Linked DNA regions of Drosophila melanogaster. Changing the gene in region 2 together with the main gene of any one other region gives a genetic interaction. Each region holds a gene or a part of one and is shown on either strand. Other genes may lie near its edges. The genes, in order: Pdfr, wake and Pdf.

The links.
Region 1: of wake (region 2) and Pdfr, changing one suppresses a phenotype caused by changing the other (phenotypic suppression), as found in Drosophila melanogaster (one study listed by BioGRID).
Region 3: of wake (region 2) and Pdf, changing one suppresses a phenotype caused by changing the other (phenotypic suppression), as found in Drosophila melanogaster (one study listed by BioGRID).

Annotation. Positions count from the first base shown.
Region 1 is NC_004354.4:2,569,856-2,578,925, reverse strand, and holds Pdfr (Pigment-dispersing factor receptor), read right to left. Parts: upstream 6,721-9,070; 5' UTR 6,260-6,720; coding exon 6,080-6,259; intron 5,953-6,079; coding exon 5,496-5,952; intron 5,427-5,495; coding exon 5,316-5,426; intron 4,455-5,315; coding exon 4,303-4,454; intron 4,064-4,302; coding exon 3,806-4,063; intron 3,735-3,805; coding exon 3,438-3,734; intron 3,372-3,437; coding exon 3,108-3,371; intron 3,033-3,107; coding exon 2,872-3,032; intron 2,810-2,871; coding exon 2,473-2,809; 3' UTR 1,921-2,472; downstream 1-1,920. UniProt on the Drosophila melanogaster protein: Receptor for PDF, a neuropeptide controlling circadian behavioral rhythms. Probably regulates circadian behavioral rhythms through coordination of activities of clock neurons. PDF-binding results in the elevation of cAMP synthesis.
Region 2 is NT_033777.3:22,636,675-22,643,451, reverse strand, and holds the start of wake (wide awake), read right to left. Parts: upstream 3,645-6,777; 5' UTR 3,542-3,644; intron 1-3,541. Other genes in the region: loco (locomotion defects), read left to right, coding at 4,513-6,651.
Region 3 is NT_033777.3:26,453,903-26,459,238, forward strand, and holds Pdf (Pigment-dispersing factor), read right to left. Parts: upstream 2,240-5,336; 5' UTR 2,162-2,239; coding exon 1,853-2,161; 3' UTR 1,560-1,852; downstream 1-1,559. Other genes in the region: CG43117 (uncharacterized protein), read left to right, coding at 911-1,138; CG14237 (uncharacterized protein), read left to right, coding at 2,975-3,340; CG14238 (uncharacterized protein), read left to right, coding at 4,451-4,644, 5,176-5,336. UniProt on the Drosophila melanogaster protein: Neuropeptide PDF is the main transmitter regulating circadian locomotor rhythms. Required to maintain behavioral rhythms under constant conditions by coordinating pacemaker interactions in the circadian system.

The DNA.
Region 1 (9,070 bases), on a different chromosome or scaffold from region 2:
CACACACTATCTGACCCGTATTATTCATACGGGTCATACGGTATTCATTCATTCATCAAATATTCATTTGATGATCCATCAAATCATCGGATTAAGCTGCTTATGGGATGAAATTGCCAATTTAGCCATGCCAATTGGGGGATTCACGAGCGGCACGTGCCTATCCAAAAAAAAAAAATTAGGCAAACCTAATGGATCCCGAGCCCGAGTCCGATCCCAAATCCAGATGAAGAACGTAGACGATAGCCGAGTGCAGTTTAGATGTATGCATATAAAATCATGTTTATTCATTTTCCATCTAGCCTTATACACGTAATAGTTTGACATTGACGACCACTGGGGTTCTGGTTCTTAGGTTCCTCTCTTTTTAAATTCGGCTTGAATTCTTAGTTTCGAAATAGCGTGAAGCGAGTAGGAAACCAAAACTAAATGAAAACAAACACGATTCCACACACAAGATATTCCATTTAAAATGCATTGTAAGCTTAAAGCTAGGGTGATGAATATTCGACATTCGCACTGATCGCAGATCAGATGATGTGACATCGTGATTCCTTCAATCCGTTTGTTTCTGTTTGTTCCTCGTTACCATTCCATGTGCTTTGTACTCTCGTTATATGTGGTATACATACATATCTATGTACATATGTATATACTCGTATTATATGTACGAACTACTCTCCGACATTTTTCTGCTGCTTGCATCCGTGTAAATAACAGGTATGTAAATATGTATGCTTTATCTATGCTCTTGTAAATACCGTTACATCTATGTATGTATATTGAGCTTATTTAGAAAAAAAAAGATTAACAGTTACATTCATCAGCGCACTTCTTACACATGTGCAAAAAAAACTGTGGCCCAACTGCTGTTGGTAAATATACAAAAATATAGGATATATGTATGTATGCGTGTGTGTGTGTCGTGTATCGATCGATATCCGACTTATCGAACTCGCTTCTTGCAAAGAGAGCATACTTCGCGGCATTTTAGTTTTAGTTTAAGAACAGTTGCGCCTGCGGATGGGCGTGAATATTGTGTTTCGGTGTGTGTTGTTCTGAGTGTTGCTGGTGTGAGCGGTAAAGAGAGCGAGATGCACTAGGCTTTCGGCATTTGTATTTGATGGCTCTTTGAAATCGCTTTGGCTTTCGCCTTTGACTTTGTCATCGTCGCGATGGTTGCAATGGATGCTATTGTTGTTTTGGCTGCCGTTGTTGTTGTTGATGTTGTGGTAATTGTTGTTGCTACCGCTGCAAGCGTCGACGTCGGCGGCATTTGCGACGTCATGAATATTTGCTGCGTCTTTTGCGAGCCCGGCATCACACATTTGTCCTGCGAACGAAAGGCGAGAAAGAAGAAAAAGAAAACGAAAACGAGAAGAGTCCGCCAAGAGAGCCGCATTTTGAGTGGGAAACAAGGAGGAGAGAATAGCCGAAAAGATATTTATTGCATTTATGTGTCTCCGATTATGGACCCCATTAGTTAAATATCGATTGTGGCAAAGTTTTTGTTGCACAACAAAGCGCAGCTAGCAAAATTCAAGGCAGTTGCAGTGAACGTGATCGATTGTAGCTGGCAGTGTGACCAGCTCAGGAACGGAAAGTGTAAGCTAATCAAAGTGGTAAAGAAAATGTAAATACAAGTAAACCCAAATCTTAAAACTTAATAACGGAATCCGATGAACAGCAAGTTCAACAGTTGATTAAAGGTGAGTTCCTTTAAACAATGTCACTTTTCAATTATGTTATGTAATAAGTTCTAATGGCTCACAAAGCCTGGCCACACTGCGCAGTTACCGCAAGTTTGTGTTAATTCACTTAAATATTTCAATCTAATATTTAAATATGAATAGTAGAAGTAAAAGAACATGCCGCTGAAGTTTTGCTGAAAAATTCATCGAGTAAGAACCGTGTGCGAGTGTTTTTGAATGTATTTGCGTGTCCAGAACAGAAGGTGACGCTATTGGAAATTTATTGTCATCAAAAATATTTTGTAAAACTTGTAGGGAAATTTGAATTTTCGTAGGATTAGCCGATTTCGAAAGGATAGGAGATTTCTAGATTTTGGAAAGGGTTTGGATATGGCTTACACAAATAAAGGTATGTATGTATTTACATAAGTACAGTGGAGCAAGAACCGAAGGCAAGCGAAAATAACTATTTAAATTAAATGTCTATTGGTTTAATTTGAATTACAAAACAATGAGCTTACTTTCTGTTCAAAATGATCTTGGGTATAAGAACTGCGATATTTTGTTGGGGTATTTTACATATGTGCTGTTTCCAGCTGGCTTGCTTGGTGGGTCGATGGGAGATGCAGGAATAGTCGGGTTCTGGGTTATCTTTGGGATCATTTCCGGTCCGATTGTGTGGGTGCTGGCTACTGTGGTGGTGGGCTACATGGCGTTGGCTACTTCTACGGCTATTTGGCTACGGCTATGGCTACATCTATTAGTTAGGCTAGGTTTTGGTCTACTGCTCTGACAACTCAAATACAACTGACTCGGGTGGCACGGATGACGCTGACGGTACTCTTAGTACCTTTTGACCCCGGAAGCAGATGCCCATTATCCACTTGGAGCCGCGAGTTCGCGATCTCGCGCTGCCCGCCTCCTTGCTGTGAATGTGGGAGATGGTCGGATCCGGCTCCGCTTCCGCATCCGTCTTCTCCACCCGGTCCTTGCCCTTTTCCCGCGCCTTGTTTTGCAGCCGGGGCATCAGTCGCTGGCGCTGTTGAGGCTCGTGAATCATCACAATGCTGGCACTGCTCGGCTTTCTTCCATTCAGCCTTTTATTCGGCGGTGATATTCTGGGAGTTTTAAATTGATGTAAGGAGTTTCAAGGTGGGGTGTGCACAAAGCGGATGCTTACCGCTTTCCAGTGGCCGATGGATCTCCTGCAGGCTGCACTGCATCCGTATCCGGCGCCGTGTTATAAGCACCCGAGTACATAGATGCCCTTTTCGGCGCCCATTCCGGATGACCTCGCACCGACAGCTGGGTGGCCAGACTCTTTAGTAGCACGGCACGAACCTAAAAAATATATATTTTGGTTGGAAATAGTGAGGGTTTTAGGCAAATGGACAACTGAGTGACTTGATGTCTTACCTCGCCATTTAGAAAGCAGTAAATTAGCGCTATAAAAAATCCCTGAAACGAGGTGAGAAAGTGGGTGCCATACGACCAGACCGCGAAGTTCGTGGCCGTTTTCAGAGGAGCCAGCTGGTGCAGGAGATTGGTTATACCCAAAAGTGGTAGTAGGACTATAGCCGCTCTAACTGCCTTGCGAGTCTGTTCTATATCGCTGGCCTGCGATTGACGCAGCTTCATTACCAGCACTCGGATAATGTTCACCAGGAAACAGAAGTTTAGCTGCATGCGGATGTTTTCAGTTGGGTGAATAGGTGATTAAAGCGATCAACAGTTGATATTACCCACCAGTATGACCGCTAGTCGTGGCCCCTCGAGGATCCAGTAGTAGGGCGTGAGATTATAGTTCCACAAGCATTCGCCCAGCGAGGTGTCCATATACATGACCGTGCATCTCGCCCACACGGTGGTCATCAGAATGGGCACACACCAGCCGAGTCGCGAGAAGAACTTGAGGGGAAAGCTGCCCTGGAAAACGGCCACGGTGACCATGTTGTGCAGGTAAAGGCCCTCGATGAACATCCACATGAACATGGCGGTACGAGCGTACTCCAGAAGTACATAGGATGCTTCGCACAAATAGGGCTGTAGAACATAACATATAATATCGAACATAAGCCTTATACCTTATCCTTATGCGGGAATATTAAGCCTACCGTGTTCTCAATGACAGAGAGACTCGTGTTGGTGGCCGCCTCCTTGTTTCCCCGCCGGAATTGGTCGAGATACAAGGTCAGGCGAATGATCACCTGCAGCACCATGGCGACGAAAAGATTCTTGTGGATCTTGGTGCGATTGTTTCGCAGCGAGCGAAATGTGCAGAAGATCAGCAGGGAAACTATAAGGGCGAACAGGGAGAGGCAGAGGCCCACGATCTCCAGGGTTCGAGTCCTCCTGGCAATGTCTATGTAGGCCTAAGGGATATCGCAAACCAGTTGGAAGAAATGGAATTAAAACTACTACTATAAACCACTATCAACAAATGTAATCAGGCCTTTGAAATCACTTTTTAGGGTGTCTAAAAAACTTGGAACCCTATTAGGTAATTTCAAAACCATACCCTTGATTTGGGATTTTGGTTGGCATTTAAGCAATGCTCTTAACTATAACTGAAACAGGTATTATGATGTAGTGTGGAAAGAATTCAACTCACATCGAAGTCCTTGCTGCCCATCTGCTGCATGAGACGGATAATCTCCGGCTTGTAACACGGCCCGTAGTCCGTCCATCCCGGCGGATTCACCTCCGTGGCATTTGGCCTGCTGCCCCATCGACCATCCAGCTCACACTTTCGGATGGCGAATTCTGCGAACCGAAAAAGAGGGAGGTTGGGTTGGATTAATGACAGTAATCGAGCTTTGACACACTGACTGACAAGTGCAATTATGCCAATCGAATGGGCGACCGACCTCGTCCAGTTGAAAATATTGGGGCTAAAAATCTAGACACGGCCCGGAGAAATGAGGCCGTAGCTCAACAATGCACTCGAATAATTATTTCTTAACAGATATAGTTCGATATGCCTAGATTTTGCACCACAAGCGCAGATAATACATTCACTAGTGATAATGGAAGAGCATTTTAAGTTTGTAAAATATTGGGTGGTAAGTCAGCTACTTAGAATCTTTTCGCTCAGTGTATATCGCCCATGGTTATTAAATAGCAATTCCCCATTGCAGAACGTTTAATTTATCGGAGGGGTAGAGCAAGCATTTAGGATCGTAATTAAGCAATCGATTGGCTGGTGTTTTAAACCCTGTTCAACTGGCGGAGCTCGAGGGTGCACATGAAACACCTGGACAGCCCCCGGCGATGGAAGCCAAGGAGGGGCGGCCCCGACTGGGAGTGCGGTTGATTGGACGCCCCCAGTCATGCATGTAAATATTGACATCCTTTCGATGAATACGGAATCAAGTAATTGTTTGCCGTGCACCACTTGAACCGTTTCCCAGCTAATGATCCGTATGATTGTGACCGCCAGATATGCCGTGTGGATGGGATAAACACCGTAGGACATGTCTTTTGACTCCTAATAAGCCGGCAGAAGTCATAAAGCTTCTTGTGGCTGCTAAACAGCTAAACAGCTTCAACGATTAATTATGCTAATTGTACTCAGCATGTTCTTTTTCGGCTGCTTTTTTTTTAGAGTGTATTTCAGTTACTTACTGCGCGTATCTACGCCATGAAAGCCGCCAGGACAATTCATCCGTGCAAGGACTCCAGCCGGAGTGGGTGGCCAGCAGAGCAATGTGTCCCAGGTCCAATTGCAGTAGAGTCCTATCCCGGCAACAAAAAAAAAAAAAAAAATACTGCAATATGATTTAAAAGTTATTAGGCTTTAGGTACCTGTTTGTGGTAGGGTGTAATTGACAAAAAGCGCCGAGCAGTTCTCGAAATTGGTGGCCGCTGCCGACGCAAGCGTTAGATTCCAGGGCGCGCTGCTGTTGAGATTACCGAGAACCTGTTCCGTGTCCGAATCGGGCAGTGCGTCCATGACGGTGGGCTCCAGGGCCAATTGGGCCACCCTGGCGACACCGTCGAGGACATACGTTCCCGGCGATTCCGTTGTCGAGGCATCGAAATCGTGCAGTAGTGGCACGCGTCCGGTCGCCAGGCTGTGCGAGGATGTTGGCTCCAGCATGGATTTTGATTCAAATGTTCCGGCCGTCGGTGCAGATGGGGATGGTCCTGATGAGCCGGACTGGCGCAGCAGGCGGGTGAAGCGCTGGGCGGAAATACAGCCTCCGCAGTCGAGAATGTTCGACAGGAGGGTCATTTTGCCATCGACCGCATAGTAAATGTGCTGCAAAGCGAACAATGAACATCGTTGTTATTTACGCACCAGCATTATATCGAGTTATATCGTTCTAAAAAAAAAAAAAAAACAATCCCAAACCCATCAAACTTTGTACGAGTTAAACCCAACCAACCAATGAGTCTGCATGGCGAACACGACCTCCAGAACACGGAGCTTTGTCTTTCGATATTAGCATTGGACCCATGGACATGCATGCATTGGCTGCAATTGAAAATTGATCTCTTTCCATTTCGATTTCGATTTCCGCTTCCGTTTTCGTTTTCGTTTCCGATTTCCGATTTCCCGCACCCATGCGCCCCGTTATCCGGGTCAGATTTAATTGAAAGCTTATCGCACAATGAGACGTACGTCGACCGGTGCCTTTGTTTACCGGATCTTATTCTCGTTGGCAGAGTGCCCGTCGTTAACGCAGTTTATGATTGCCCCTAATAAATACCCGGCTTATTTATAGTCCCGCTGCACCGGAGTGCAAACATCACGCCCACACGCTACGACGCCATATGTATGCACATACATACAATACACATATCATTGGCATTCGCATTCGCATTCGCACTCGTATCACCCACATCGCACCGATTGTCGGGATTATGCCTGGCGAAATGGCAAATGGCCAGGAGCACCACATGCACGCAGAAAAGAAAACAAGTGAGTTGTTTACACATTTCAAATATTTTTGAATTGGGCATTGAATTGCATGGCATTGCAACGATCGCCACATACCAATTTCTTTCTGTGCAGCAGGAAGAGGAACTACGGGCTATGTGATGAATTGTAATTGCAACAACAGTTGCACTAACCCTTTTCCAATTTACGTGTCGGCTCTTTTCGGAGAAGTGTAATCTCTGCACAAGGAACAGATTAAAAATGAGCAGCTAAAACTTTGTATGAAGAACTCAAGGTCCTGCAAACAACTGATGATACGATCGTGCAGACTCGAAAATGTAATGCTTTTATCATTGCACAAATGAGATGGAGTAATTCCCAATGAAAAACAACAGCTTGTTTATCATTTAGTGGCACGTTTTGTGAAAAACAAGATTTCATATTTTAATGACGGCATCACATATTTTCCTCTGCGCAATTTATGGCCAAGGCTAAACGGAATGTAAATTACTTCAATGACAATCGCACACGACAAATTATGATTTCTTCCTGTCTTGGTTGCGTTGCAGCAGCAGCAGCAGCAGCAGCAAATGGCGGCGGAATGGCACAGGAAACACGTTGCCATTCGCTTTTTTTTGCCTCAACTTTTATTTCTTTTTCTTTTTTTGGTTTTTTCACTTCCGGAATTGCGTAAACAAGCCATGCGGAGGACGGTCGTCCAAAGTGGCCAAAGTTGCACATTTTGCTCATGTTGCCCATGTTGCTTGTGTTGCTTGTGTTGCTTGTGTTGCTAAGCTGCCCCAAAAATGCCTTTGAGTGCATTTTATATAATTTCATAAGAATTTCAATTTCGCCAGTAGTCGCTGCACACGAATGCATGCATGCAGGCTATGCTCCACCCACACGCTCACCCACCTCCCTCCCCCCCCTCAGCTATCCATCTCTGCATTTCCGCATTTCCGCATCCCTGGGGGCATTCCACTGGCTTTGTACTGCTCAATATGTATTTTGGTTGCATAAGCGCCAGCGTCAGACGAAGTGCAGCATTAGCAAAAACTTTGCGACTAAGCACTCCCACAGCGCAAAAAATCAACGATATATACGGTATATGTATATATATATATATATTTAAAATATATAATTAAGTAATTAAGATATTAAGCCTTTCGGGAGCCTTGAATTCGCTGCTTATTTACCAATCGATGCTTATCGCCGCAGCGAACCGATTCTCAGCTCGCGCTCGTAATTAAGCTAACTAAGCGCAAAATCCCCTCCAAAGCGACTGAAAAGCCAGTGGCGGGGCCAGGGATTGGAAACGGTTTGGTTTGGCTTGGCTTGGCTTGGCTTGGATTGGATTGGATAACCAACTGGATGGATGCTGGATGCCGCGATTCGGCATCTCCAAGCAGACAACAGACCCTGATTTGGGTCACTTGGCAGCAGTTGCAGCGTGCGGGTTATGGGGTTGAGGGATTAAGGGACCCCTTTAAATACTTGTGCAATTTAAAGTTAGCACCAGTCAGAAACAGAAAGTAACTAAAATTTAATTACATTGAGGAAAGTGGTTTGTTCAACTGCAATTTGTTTGTGTGTAAAGTGTGTACAGAGTAGAGCTTACAAATATTATTGGTAGTTGGTAGTTGGCAATCGAGAAGAGGCTTGTTAATCAAAATGTTCTTGCATATTACATAAGCACATTTTTATATTTATTACGCCCTTGGCATATATTTTTTTTTTTGACTTGAGCAATCCATTTTCAGGCCGATAATTGAACGAGCTCTGGACTCGATTGTTTACAATTTGGAAACCCAAACATGCTGGGCCGTTTGAATAATTAATCAACTTTCTTATTGAACACTCAGCAATTCAATTATTTAACACGCATTGCAATGCCCCAAATAGCTTGTCAATTCCACTTGATGGGTGGATACTCATAGTGGATAGTGACAGGCAATCAGGATTTATGTGAACTTAAATTCGTTAGTGGACGGAGCTTTAAATGTGCAATAAGTGCAATCAGCAATCAACAAGATTATAAAGTAATTTCAGCTGACGTCGCTCGACTTGAAAATTGGGTTGATTGAGCCCCAAATAATGGGCGTGCCCCTTTTGCCGATCGATTGTTTTAACATTTTCATCGGCCCAAGTGCAGTCGAAGTTTTTTGTTTTTTGTTTTTTTTTTTTTCAAATTTTCAAGACTTGGTGTTTTTCTTTTTCGGTAGGCCGGGAAAAATCGCAAAGCCCGGGGAAATTCATCTGCAGGCGTTGAAGCGTGTTTTTTTCCCCGTATATTTCTTTGCCATAATTATGGGGAAAATGAAAGAAAATGAATCTCAAGAGCCGCCATTCAGAGAGACGAAATGCATTGAATGGGCCAATGCTCGCTAACAAAAGGCTAGTGGGCAAAGTGGTGAGGGTGGGGGACGGAAAAGCGTGTGGCAAGCGGGTGGAGGTGCACGAAAAACTGGTTGGTCTTGGTTTTGGCGGCTAGCGACGC
Region 2 (6,777 bases):
AATGGTTTGGCGGGGGATAAAGGTCCAGCGAAATGTGCCACCTTCGATTCCGCGCTGCTTGAAATTGCTAATATCTAAGCCGGAAATTGCGAGAATTTCACTACCTTTTCACTTAGCTGTCATCTTTAATTAGCAGCCTTAATTAAAAGTATCAACGAGAGAGAGAGCGTGTAATTAAAAGCGAACCGCAACAAAACAAAGGCACAGCAAAATGTCATTCTAATTGCCGTACGCAATTCATATTGCATAAAAACCAGAAATAAATAAAAGAACCCAGCATTGGCCTATGAATATAAATTGAAAGTGAAATGAAGAGCAAGCAAAAAAAAAAAGCAGGGAATGTAAATAAAGCGTTTGTATCAATTAAAACGAAGGCCGGTCGTTATGAAATGCTAAGAGAAAAGCAATAAAAAGCAATAAAAAGCAAATATAGTGACTAAATAAATAATATTTTTAGAAGCTTACATTGTTTTCATTTTTGTTGTTAACCAAAAATTGGTTGGTTACGAAAATATAGGCAATATTCTACAATTTAGAACACAATTCTTTGAACATCATTTTGCTAGAATTTAGTCTGACTGCTAAATGAAACTGAAATTGCAAATTAGATTGCCAAAAATAAGCCAAAGGCATTTTTACATACATCACATTGTATTCATGCAAAGTGCGCGTCAGCTGCAGCAATCTTCATTAATTGCATTGCAATGAACGTTGGCATTTTCGCACATATGCCAGGGCAAAAAAGGCCAAGAAATGTCAGCCAGGCCAAACACAGCCATATGCAATATGCACACGTATAGTCGGAATTCTCGGAACGCATCGCCTGCAACGTCATTGTCATGAAATGCTTAAATTTATTGAGAGCATGCCACATATAGTATATACAACAACGTCCTTGTCCGGCACTTGGTATAATATCAGAACTCCTTGTTTATATTTTTAGTGGCAATACCAATTAATCTTAGTTGTCAAGAAGCCGGGCGCCCAGAAATAGCAATGTTATATATATATATATGTATATATATGTATAGGTAAGTATTTGTAAGTACTTGGTTCTTGCCTGTAAAATTAAGCACTTAATCATCGCTTGCAGATTTAATTAAATGCAGCATAATAGCAATTCAGGGAACAGGCAGCGATATTAATCATACGCCATGTTGTCAGCTTTATGAAATGCCTGCATAAATCTCTGCCAAGCCGCAGAATGCATTCTGCTGTTAAAAAAAAAAAATGCATGTGTGGGCGCTTGCTGTTGGCAAATTGTTTCAAATGTGCGCAATTTAAACGAAATTGAGAAACCAAAAGCGGAAAAATAAAGGACGAAGCAAACGTTTTCGGTCAGCCTTTTCCTTTTGACAAATTTGAACAAAAGCCAAAAAAAAAAAAAAAACCCCTCCAGAAACCCCAGCAGCATTAATTTCTGTGAGTTCTGTAATAAACTGGAGTATACGAAAAAATAACCACGACAGCTAAAAAGGGGAAAAATTTGGGGCAAAAAGGAAGTAAACAGCAGCGCGAACAAATGGCTCGTTTGGCTAACCTTTTCTGTTTGGCTGCCCTGCATTGCTTTTGTTTATAGAAAAGTTTAAATTGTGTCAATTTTTTGCTTTTTTGGCGCTCGCGCAATGCAGAAAGTTTGGGAAACAAATGAAATGTGGGTAAAAACAATTTCCGAAATCGCGACAAGGACGGCGACTTAGGACCCACAAAAAGTGTGGGTATGATAATGCCACAAAAAAAAAAAAGAGTATATTCTAAGATGTCAGGGGTGAAAGTTGGCATTCCAGTGAAAATTGCGTATTTTCCTATTAATTTTCCAGTGAGACGTTTACGAATTAAATCCCTAAGCGGATAGAATGGCGGATTTTCATCAGGTGCAGCTGGATGTCATAGACACAAAGCTTGCTATCAGCATAGTTTTACTGCTCTTTACGGTTCACTGCGATTCAGTGAAGCGAAAATATTTACTTTTTTGTTGAAATATTGATGACATTGGTCAGATTTACCATTTGAGCACACACAAACATGAATGCGAGCAGTGAACTTTGACACTTTTGTACATATATGGAAAAAATTCAATCAAAGTTTTCCATTTTATTACTGTATATTAATAATATTCTTTAATATACGATCCAATGAAATGCTTTCATGAGCCCCAATTATAATCAAATAACAAAACACTTAGCAAACAATGGTGACATTAATAAATTCACAGGACATTCATCAATCAAAAATCAGTTCGATCGATATTATTAACCCTTAAATACATTAAACTTTCGGTAATGACTGAGGTGCTTCCGTCGATTCCCATCTTCGAGGGGACATAATTTATTGATTTATGTATTCAGTCCATTTGGGAAATTAGGTTTCAATCATTTCCAATTGATTTCTTCGTCGCAATTGAGAAACTTTTCCTGCCAACTTTCAGCAGCAAAATAGTTGGACAAAACAGGCGAAAAGTCGGTTGGTATGGGAATGCAAAATGCTCGGCATCTCCTAGTGGCTAACAAAATCCACTGCCAAACTAATTTGTGGCCAAAACTATGTGAGAGGCGAGCAGGAATGAAGCATGTGCCAAAATAATACAATAGAACCAACTGAAACTTACTTGGGCTTAGTTGAAAAGAAAACTTTCGCTAGCCAAGAAATTAAAGTGAAGTAGGAACTAGACTTCTGGACAATTTACGAGCTCCCATGGGATCGCCAACCGTTTTGGTAACCATGTATATAGCACATATATAGTATGTGCGCGTCGAGTCAGTTTGGCAATATAAATGACGATAAATTAATTATCGGCCGATCAAGTCATTGTCGCCATTAATTATGGGCCCACGATGCACGGCCCAACGGCCTTTTAATAGTTTTTCACACGCCCACGGGACTCAGGACCTTCGGCAATTAGGATGTGAGGTAGATGGATGTGAGGTAGATGGAGATGAGGAGATGAAATGAAATATGGCGTGAATGGGCCGAGGTTTTATGACAATGTTTGCTGCCTGAATAGCGCGGCAGCATCGTCTGGGCCATGAATTTAATGCGCTGCAACAGTTAATGATTTTATTGGCACTCCAGTCGCAACTTGGCCACATCTTTGGGCAGAGACCGGGAATCGGGGACAGCGGATTGGTGTTAGAATCCTCGTAAACAGTCGGGCTGGAATTTATGACTTGGTCTCATGAATATAATCAATGTCAAGAGCGACGCCAAGTGTCGTCTGGGGATCGCACTTGCCGCGCTCTCGAATCCATTCCCCGCAAGAAATCTGAGTGCCCTGACCAGACGCAGACGAATCCGGATGAGCCGTAAACGAAGACGGGCAAATCGCTCGCCTGGCTTAAATGGCATTTCAATTTGGCACTTCCGTTTCCGCAACATCCCACCCCCATTGCTTTCTATTGGCTTTCTATTCTTTGTCCGTAATGTCCTTGCCAACATTTCAATTGGTTCAACACTGGCTGACTGGGGTCACTTCTGCAGGTCTTGCTACGGATAATCCTTAAACATTTCAGCGTTAGAACTTCGAACACTTCGATCCGTTTACCAATAACATTTTACATTTCACTCGAGCAATTTAACTGCTGTTTTCGGGTTCAAAAACTAATTCAACAGCGGTTCTGGGTGCGCGCGTTCAACCAATGCGTTTGAAAGTCCCAATGTAACTGAAACGGCGTGGGCCAAACACAAATAACACGCTACGCAGATGTAAGCTCACCGGAAGGACTTTAAAGGACGAGCGTTCGGAGCTTTTATTTAAATCGAAAAGTAACTGACGGCAGTGGGATGTGACAAAAGTTCGTTGCTATGCAACGAAGGTCAGCCCAGTGTGGCAACGATTGCTTCATAAATTTCAATGAGTCTGGCAGCCCTGTTTTTATCTAATTCAAATTTGTAAATATCGTTTTTCTATCAATGGTCAATGCCTTCAATATTTGAACAAATCAAATTTTCTCTAGAACTGCTTGTTAAAAATTGTTGACATTCTGCAAAACTTTAACAGTAATTACTAAAAATATGGTGTGTCAAAGTGATCGATGTTTCACAAAAGGTATGTAATATCGATAGTATCGAGTAAACATTTTAGTGTGTTCCATCTCTAATCATAGTTACGCTTGCGCATTGTAGACATAATTTTAATTACCGATTTACACACAATTAATTGCTACAAATATGCCTGATAAAGTTACAACGATGTTATTAACCGCGTGAATATGAGGTAGCACCCAAAGAAGAGTTAGTTATCAATTAATTAGAGGCCTAGAAAAGTGTAACAAAATACGCCTGGCCATTGGTGCGCATGTGTGTGTGCCATTGATTACATAGTTGGCATAGGCGACGCACGGGTGCGAGCGAGAGGGGGCATCATCCAAAAAGGGGCGCAACAGAAACCGCATTCCATTTCCAGAAATCCAGGTTGCAGCTTCCATCCATGAGAAAGGTGCGTACAAATGTCCAGATGTGGGTTAAGATTGGCCAGTACTCCTCATCATTCGTTTTCTCCACACAGTAAGCGCCATGCACCACCATCATCCGCCTTTGCCCATAACCGGAGCAAGTGGCTCCACAGCCGTGGGAACGGGAGCAGCTGCAGCGGAGGATGCATCACCTGCTGCGAATAGTGGGCCCGCCCCCATAAGCACCTCAACCACGCCTTCGGGATCCAACAGCCAGCAGCATCAGCGACGTCGCAAGAAGCGAGCCAACTACAACTACAATGGCATCCGCACCGTGGAAGTGCGACGTGGTTACAATGGCTTCGGTTTCACCATTTCCGGGCAGCAACCATGTCGGCTGTCTTGCATCATCAGCAGCTCACCTGCCGAGCAAGCTGGCCTGCGTTCCGGTGACTTCCTCATATCGGTCAACGGTCTAAATGTCTCCAAGTTGCCACACGAAACAGTGGTGCAGCTCATTGGCAACTCCTTTGGCAGTATTCGCATGCAGATCGCCGAGAATTATTATTCCGACAGCTCGGATGAGGAGAACGCCCATGCCACGCTGAGGGGTCAATTGTTGGCAGCCAGTTTGAGGCACAAGCCCAGGTTTCTACACCACAAAGCCAAACTGCACAGATTGCGCAACTCGCCACAAAAGAAGCTAAACCCACCAGAGGCAGTGGAACCGCACAAATCAAAGTCATCACCCGATCACCCTACATTAAAACCCGTTCTGGAGGATCCGCCTCTGACAGCCAATCTATCCAAAGCAGCGGATGTGGCCAATGTAAGTGCCATGGTGCGAGCTGTGGGCAGTGCTGCACTGGAGTGCCGTGTTATTGTTGGCTATCTGGGAACCATCGAGATGCCCAAGCAGATCTCGCATAGTTCCAAGCTGCAGACAGTTCGATCTTGCATTCGAAAACTGAGACAGGAGAAGCGACAGCCCACCATTGTGCTGATGTGCATCACGCCGGACAGCTTGAGCCTGCAGAGTTCCAGCGGCGGAGTGCTGGCCACCTACTCCTCGGCCAGGCTGAACTTCGTGAGCTCTTCGTCGGAGAGCGAGAATCGATTCTTTGGTCTGGTCACTAGCGCCGTGCACAACACACAGATCGAGGAGGAGTACGAGCCGAGCGCTGGCAGCGCAGCAGCTGCTGGTCACATCAGTATCTCGCACAGCTGCCATGTCTTCGTCATCGACACCAAGCTGATCGAACATGCACAGCATTTGCAGCGGGCCCACGAGTTCCGCCTGCAGTGCACCCGGGATCCGATCTCGAATTTGTGTCTCGAGTTCCCTAACAACTCGGAATATGTGGTGAATCTCGTGCGCAGCATGTATACCATGCGGATTCTCCCACCGGCAAGTCGGAGTCATCAGGCAGACTATGAGGCGGGTGCAGGAGCCGCCGCAGCTGGAGGAGCAGTAGCAGCTGCCCACTCGCCGCAGCCATCGAACCACAGCGAGATCTCCACCACCACGTCCAATTCGGATTCGGGCATTGGCTTCAACAACGATTGTACGAATATTTCGGATCGCATTCTGGTTGTGGACTTCCTAGCTGCAGGAGCGGGAGCAGCGGCGGCGGCACATGCAGGACCACCAACTTATCCAGCTCCTGCTCGTCCACTGGGCATAGTGGGAATACCGGATAATCGACTGACTGTGCGGGCCATGCCCGATCATTCCGCCCTGCTAAGATCGCCGCCAGCGAGCTCTTCGCTTCGTCGACCCAATCTCCTGGCCAGCTTCAATCTGATCCAAAGTCCCGCCACGAATCTCACATCCACCCGCTCCTGTGATGATGTCCTTAATCTTTTTGTCGACGATTCACCGCGCACTTTGGCTGCCGTGGCCTCTATGGATGACATTTCGCTGCACTCGGCTGCTCCATCGCTCGATGAGGGCCACACGTTTGCCCATCCAGCGTGTGTGCCCCGCAAGATGCGCAGATCGTTGGCTCTGGAGACGCCAACAACGCCACACAAGCTGAGTGCCCAGGTATTTGGTCAACCTGGCTCGCGTCATTCGCTGGGCTTCGAAGCCATCGACAGTGTGCAGTCGTCGGTCAGTGGTGCATGTATGGATCAGACCATGGACACGTGGGCCAGCCTGCAGAATCTGCACAAATCGCACAAGGATCGGACCAGCATGTCCGCTTCCTCGTCCTCCCACTGCCTTTTAGAAGCTACGAACAGTGAACCTGATTTGGGGGTAAGTGGAGCATATCCTTTTGTTTATCCTACATGTATCATAAGTTTTTGAAATGATTGGGAATACCTATAATATAATCATAAGTGCATTTTATATCAAATCTAACCCATACAACCCTCGGCTTAT
Region 3 (5,336 bases), 3.8 Mb from region 2:
ATATGTGTGAGTATCTCAGATATTCCGCACTCAATTGCAAACTGAACTAACTAACATTTACTTTCGCATCCTTTCAGCTTGGCAAAAGCAGTGGCCAGAGCGTTTTCGGGGCATGCGACTTAGTCACGGGTGTGCTGGTAGATGTGCCTCCGCTGCAGCCACATACTGTATGCTAGATTAGCCGTTAATGATTAGCCAAGGCAGTGTACGGCCAGTTAGTTAGTATTTATGCAATAGCAGGCATAGTCATGTAAGTGAAAAGCTACCGAAACTGCATTTTGAGCCGAAGCAAGAAGCATCAACATATACACACATTCGCATATGTTACAATTGTTTTATTAATCGGACCGAAAGGCCAGCGAGAATTGATTGTTTTGTAATTTGAAAATGAATAGAATTGTATACATCATGTTTGTAGTAGTTGCCAACAATTCGATTGTCTAATGTTGTAATTTCAATATGGCATTAACATTTGCATAAATACACACACACATAGTTCAAGCTTAATCAGACATAATGCATACGCATAACTTTTTCTATACAATACTTACCGATTTCAAACAGCGCCAAATGAACTTACACATAAATCGAATCGAGAATCGTTCGATATTTAATATAAATCAGCAACATTGATTAACATAGTTATATATCTTATAAGAAAAATATATATATTGCCGTCATTTAAACGCGCCTACAACTGTTTTCCTGCGGCGGGTAAACATCGAATTGGAAGCAAACAAGTTAAGCAAAATGTGGCGTGCAAAATTTGTTTTTGCTGATTTTCAATTGTATTTCGCTATTTACTTATCATCTGCGGATATTTGTTATTGTCTGGCGTAGAAAACTTTCGTATATATAAAGGCCTCTAAAGCCTCGTCTTATACATTCACGATTCTTGCAAAGCCGCACAATGAAGCTAAGCACTTATCTATTGGCGCTCGTCCTATTCGCCGGATTCTGCCTGCTGCAGCCTTCCTCAGCCCAGACCAATTCCACCACATCCACCAACACCACAACCACGGAGGCAACCACAACCACCACTGCCAAGGCCACAACCGTTCATAGGAAACATTTTACGATCCGTAATCTCCACTATAAGACAGTGCGCAGGATCCATGTTAACAAGAAATCTGGTTAATAAGATCTTTAGCTTACCAAACAATGGCGAATAAAAAATACCTAAAGAAAACACATTTCTAATAATGGGCACAACAATTTATACTTCTACATACAGATCTTTTTGTCTTTCTGTTTATAAGTGTGTTTTTTATGAACATACTTTAGTTCTCATTTAGTTTACTTTCTACGCATTTGTTTGCCAAGTTCATGGCCAAGTTCCTTAGGTTTTGACTGCTTAGATATAGCATAATAAATGAAGTCAATAAACGAAATGGGGCTGCTATTCTAAGCTAGAAACATCTATTTATTCCAATCGTAGCATTGAACAAAATCTACTTTGAGAACACCTTTGGCTTTCATTGGTTCGCCCTTTACGGGGATAACCAATATCTTTAACTAGCTTTAGTATCTGTGATTAAGAATAAAAATCCTGACTAGTTGTTGTACCAGATTTCAAGTCGAAACAATCCAGAAAACGTTTATTTCAGCAGTAAGCCTAATAATATACAACATTTCTACAATAGGCTACTTGTATATTTTTCTATTTAGGTTTAAAGCAACAAAAGTTATACGGTCTTTTCTCTCTATTAGATGACTACACCGGCTTTTATCTGCGGATTTTCATTTTCCTTCGACGCACCAAAAAATCATACTATAACATCAAATAATAAATTCTTGTCCAGGTTCCATCTTTCAGTGGTGGGTCGTCCTAATCCTTCAGCATTTTCCGTTCTTACTTGCCCGCATCGTTCATGTTCTTGGGCAGACTCAACAAGGAGTTGATTAGCTCCGAGTTGCGCTTCCTGATGGGCACGGATGGGCCCAAGGAGTTCTCGAGGATCAGCGGATAGCGACAGAGAGTGGCCACTTGGCCGGGACTGAACTGTCCCACGCCCACGTTGTTGAACCAGTCGAGGAGATCCCGATTGTACTCCTTGCGCACATAGCGCTCCTCATCCGGCATGGCCATGGCGCCGCAGTATCCCCACTGGCAGCAAATGGCCAGAAGCACAAGGGCGACAAGGTACGTGTAGCGAGCCATTAGTCCGAGGAGCTGGAAGGATGGCCAGGAGCAGGAACTGAGCACGGAACACCTGCAGCAGGAGACTTGCGAATGAACGTCGGTTGGCGCATCCTCGACTTATATAGCAACCTGGACTGGATAACCCACTGCGGGAGACCGCCCGACCACGCAACCCAAGAGCGTCAGTATCGGTGTCATCCGCAGGACCAATACATGTCATCCGCAGGCAGCGGCGGTCCTTTAGCCCAGGCAAATACGGAGTCGAGTTGGAGCCACGCAAATATTTGGTTATGCAGTGTTTTATGTGCCAACATGCAGGCACCAAATCCCATTCAAGTCCAGCGATATTTGTACGGGAAGGCAGCTCACTGGCGACTCCATGTGGCACTCAAAAAAAAGGAGGATACCCAATTTAGGCACTTCTTTAAACCAACTTATTTATTGGATTTAAATAATATACGATTGCAGACAAAATTGCTGACCTTCCATTAAAACGAACCTTATTTGTGAATAATATTTTGCTCAATTCGTTTTCTCTCTGTGTAATTGTGTGATTAATTTTAGAACGAAGCTCGTAAAAATACCAATCTTAAATATATATAAAACTTAATAGCTAGCTCGGCAGTTGGGCCGTTTTGCGAAATTCCAGCTTGTTCCTTTGTTTGATCACCAAACTGTGTAAATATGGCCAAAAAATTTCGCGCGGACGTAATTGGCGAGAGCAAAATGCAAATATTTGCTGAGAAATTCCGCCAATTGTCTTGGTCACATATAAAACTCCCAGCCTCCGAAGTGGTAGTTCATCCGAGCAACGGCATCACCGAGCACACCATGAAGACAGGACAACTGGCACTCCGAATCCTAGCGATAAGCCTATGCATTTGGGCAACCAACGCCTCATCGCCAACCACCACGGAGACTACGACGACCACGACGGACAGTGACACCACCACCACGACGACAGCAGCCACCACGACCACCACCACCGCGTCCTCCTCCTCCTCCTCCTCCTCCTCGAAGGTCCATCGCAAGCGGTTCAGGATCAAGAACCTCAAGTACTCGATTAAGCGCAGGGTGCGCGTCTACCGTGACACCAGTGCCAGTTCCACTTCCAGGAACAGGACCAGGAATCGCTCCGGAAGGCGGGTCAGTGTGCGCAGCCTCAATAGGCTGCTGCGACGCCGCAATCAGGGCTAGGTTCCAAAATCCACATCAAGTCATATCCATACATGCAATAAAAGCAATTTTCCAAAAAAAAAAAACATCTGAGTATTTAAAACCATAAGGATAATAGAAAGGTCAGTACTAGAACGTGTGAAAAGCGAAGGATTCCCCAATGGTTGTTGCACATGTCGTATGCGTAATATATGCCAAATTACTTACCTTATTTGAAATTTTCTTTGTTCCCATCAACAGGTTGCCCCTTCTAGCATGGCTGTGCCCAGTCACACAACGCACATCATCCTTTATTTATGCCTGTTCAATGACTTCACGTGCGGCAAAAACATTGACCCAACTCCGCCCCCCAACCAATGGGCAAACATCGGATATATCTCGACGGGGTAGGTTTACGATGACTATAACTTTCCATGCAGCCACATTACCCAGCAGTTTGATGGCCAAGGCTCGGCGTCGTTCACTCCGACGATTTGTTTGCACTGCATTTGTGGCCAGACCCAAAATCCGGTGGGTGGAACGCGGACTCCGCGTTTATCGTCCACCGTTTGCCGTCTTAAAAGTCAGCTGAAGCATTTAATGGTCGTGGTGTGACTTGGAGGCACACATAAGTGAAACACGCATGGGTTCGATTTCGGTTGGGAAGACATTTCCAGGAGCGTCTTGGTCACATCAGAGTATAGAAAGTAAATGAAACTTAATTTCCCATATATTAAAATGGAAAAAAAAGGTTTTAAAATATATTAAGAAAGTTATTATTAGCTAGAATTTATTTAAGATCCATATTTTTTACTCTCTCCTTACTATGAAGAATCTTTACTTTTCGGTCTGCAGTTCGTCCCTGGACAAGCCGAAGATGATTCGTCCTGAACGCACACACAGGACATCGGGACGGGGGTCCGTGGCCATTCACCAATTACGCGCCATTCGCGGCTGTGTCCTTAATTTCTTAAAAAGCGTTTAAACATCTAATGAAAGCATTTGGGACCCCGCGATTTCTGCTGTCAGTTGCGTTTACCTTTTCGCCGTGTGCGGTTCGCTTCGTCGGTTCGGGTCGATTTGGTGGTATTCCTCGGTCCTGATTATCCGAGCTGCAGGAAGCGAGCACGAGAGGATTATGTCATTGCAGCCATGGCCAAGATAATCTCGACGATCAAGGCCATCCTCACGAGGATCATCTTCAGTGCGCACAGCCTGCTGGCCATTTGGCAGGTGGTGGCTTTAAAGAGTGATATCATATACTGGGCACTATGTGGACCACTGCTGTTGCTGCTGCTCGAGGGCATCTTCACCATCATGATCAAGAAGACGCAGGAGTGGCGCTGGTAAGGATGAAACCCACGGATCCTGGCTACCCCAGGCATCTGATTAAAACTCCCAACTCGAAATGTAAACAACAGTCAGTCGATGCTGACGTCATGCCGCGGGGTTTTGATTTTCAATTAAAAGTGAAATCATGTGTTTAATGTGTGCCTAACCTGGCCACCCACTTTCATAGAAACCACCAACACTGCGGCCGCACCCCCACACTCAAAAAAAAAGTAGCCACGATTTCCAAACAACACAATGTAGTTTACATAGGATTTTTGGATAAAAATATGCATATGAATTGAATCTAGAAATAGGAAATCCTATGAATTTTGTATCTTAAAGCCAATTTGTATTATCATTTCGGGGTGTACTTTTTTTCAAGTGTAAGCTGTCCACCTCACACTTTGTACTAGTAAAAACTTTAATGGAATTTCGTGGGGGATGGAGTCTTTTTGACTCTTGTTTACCTTTCGTCGCATCACTCAGACTTGTTGTTTGTTTTGGCCGTTCGGCTGTGCCACCTCATTTGTGTCCTTTGTCCGCAGGTTCTGCCCCTCGGTTTTCCTCTACCTGAGCAGCATTGTGCCGGCGATATGGCTGCTGGAGCTGGACAAGGTAGCACGTCGGGTGGGCAACATGACATCGACCAACTCGACGGTCTACAGTCCGAGCAACTACAGCATTCCCGTGGGCAACACCACCATCT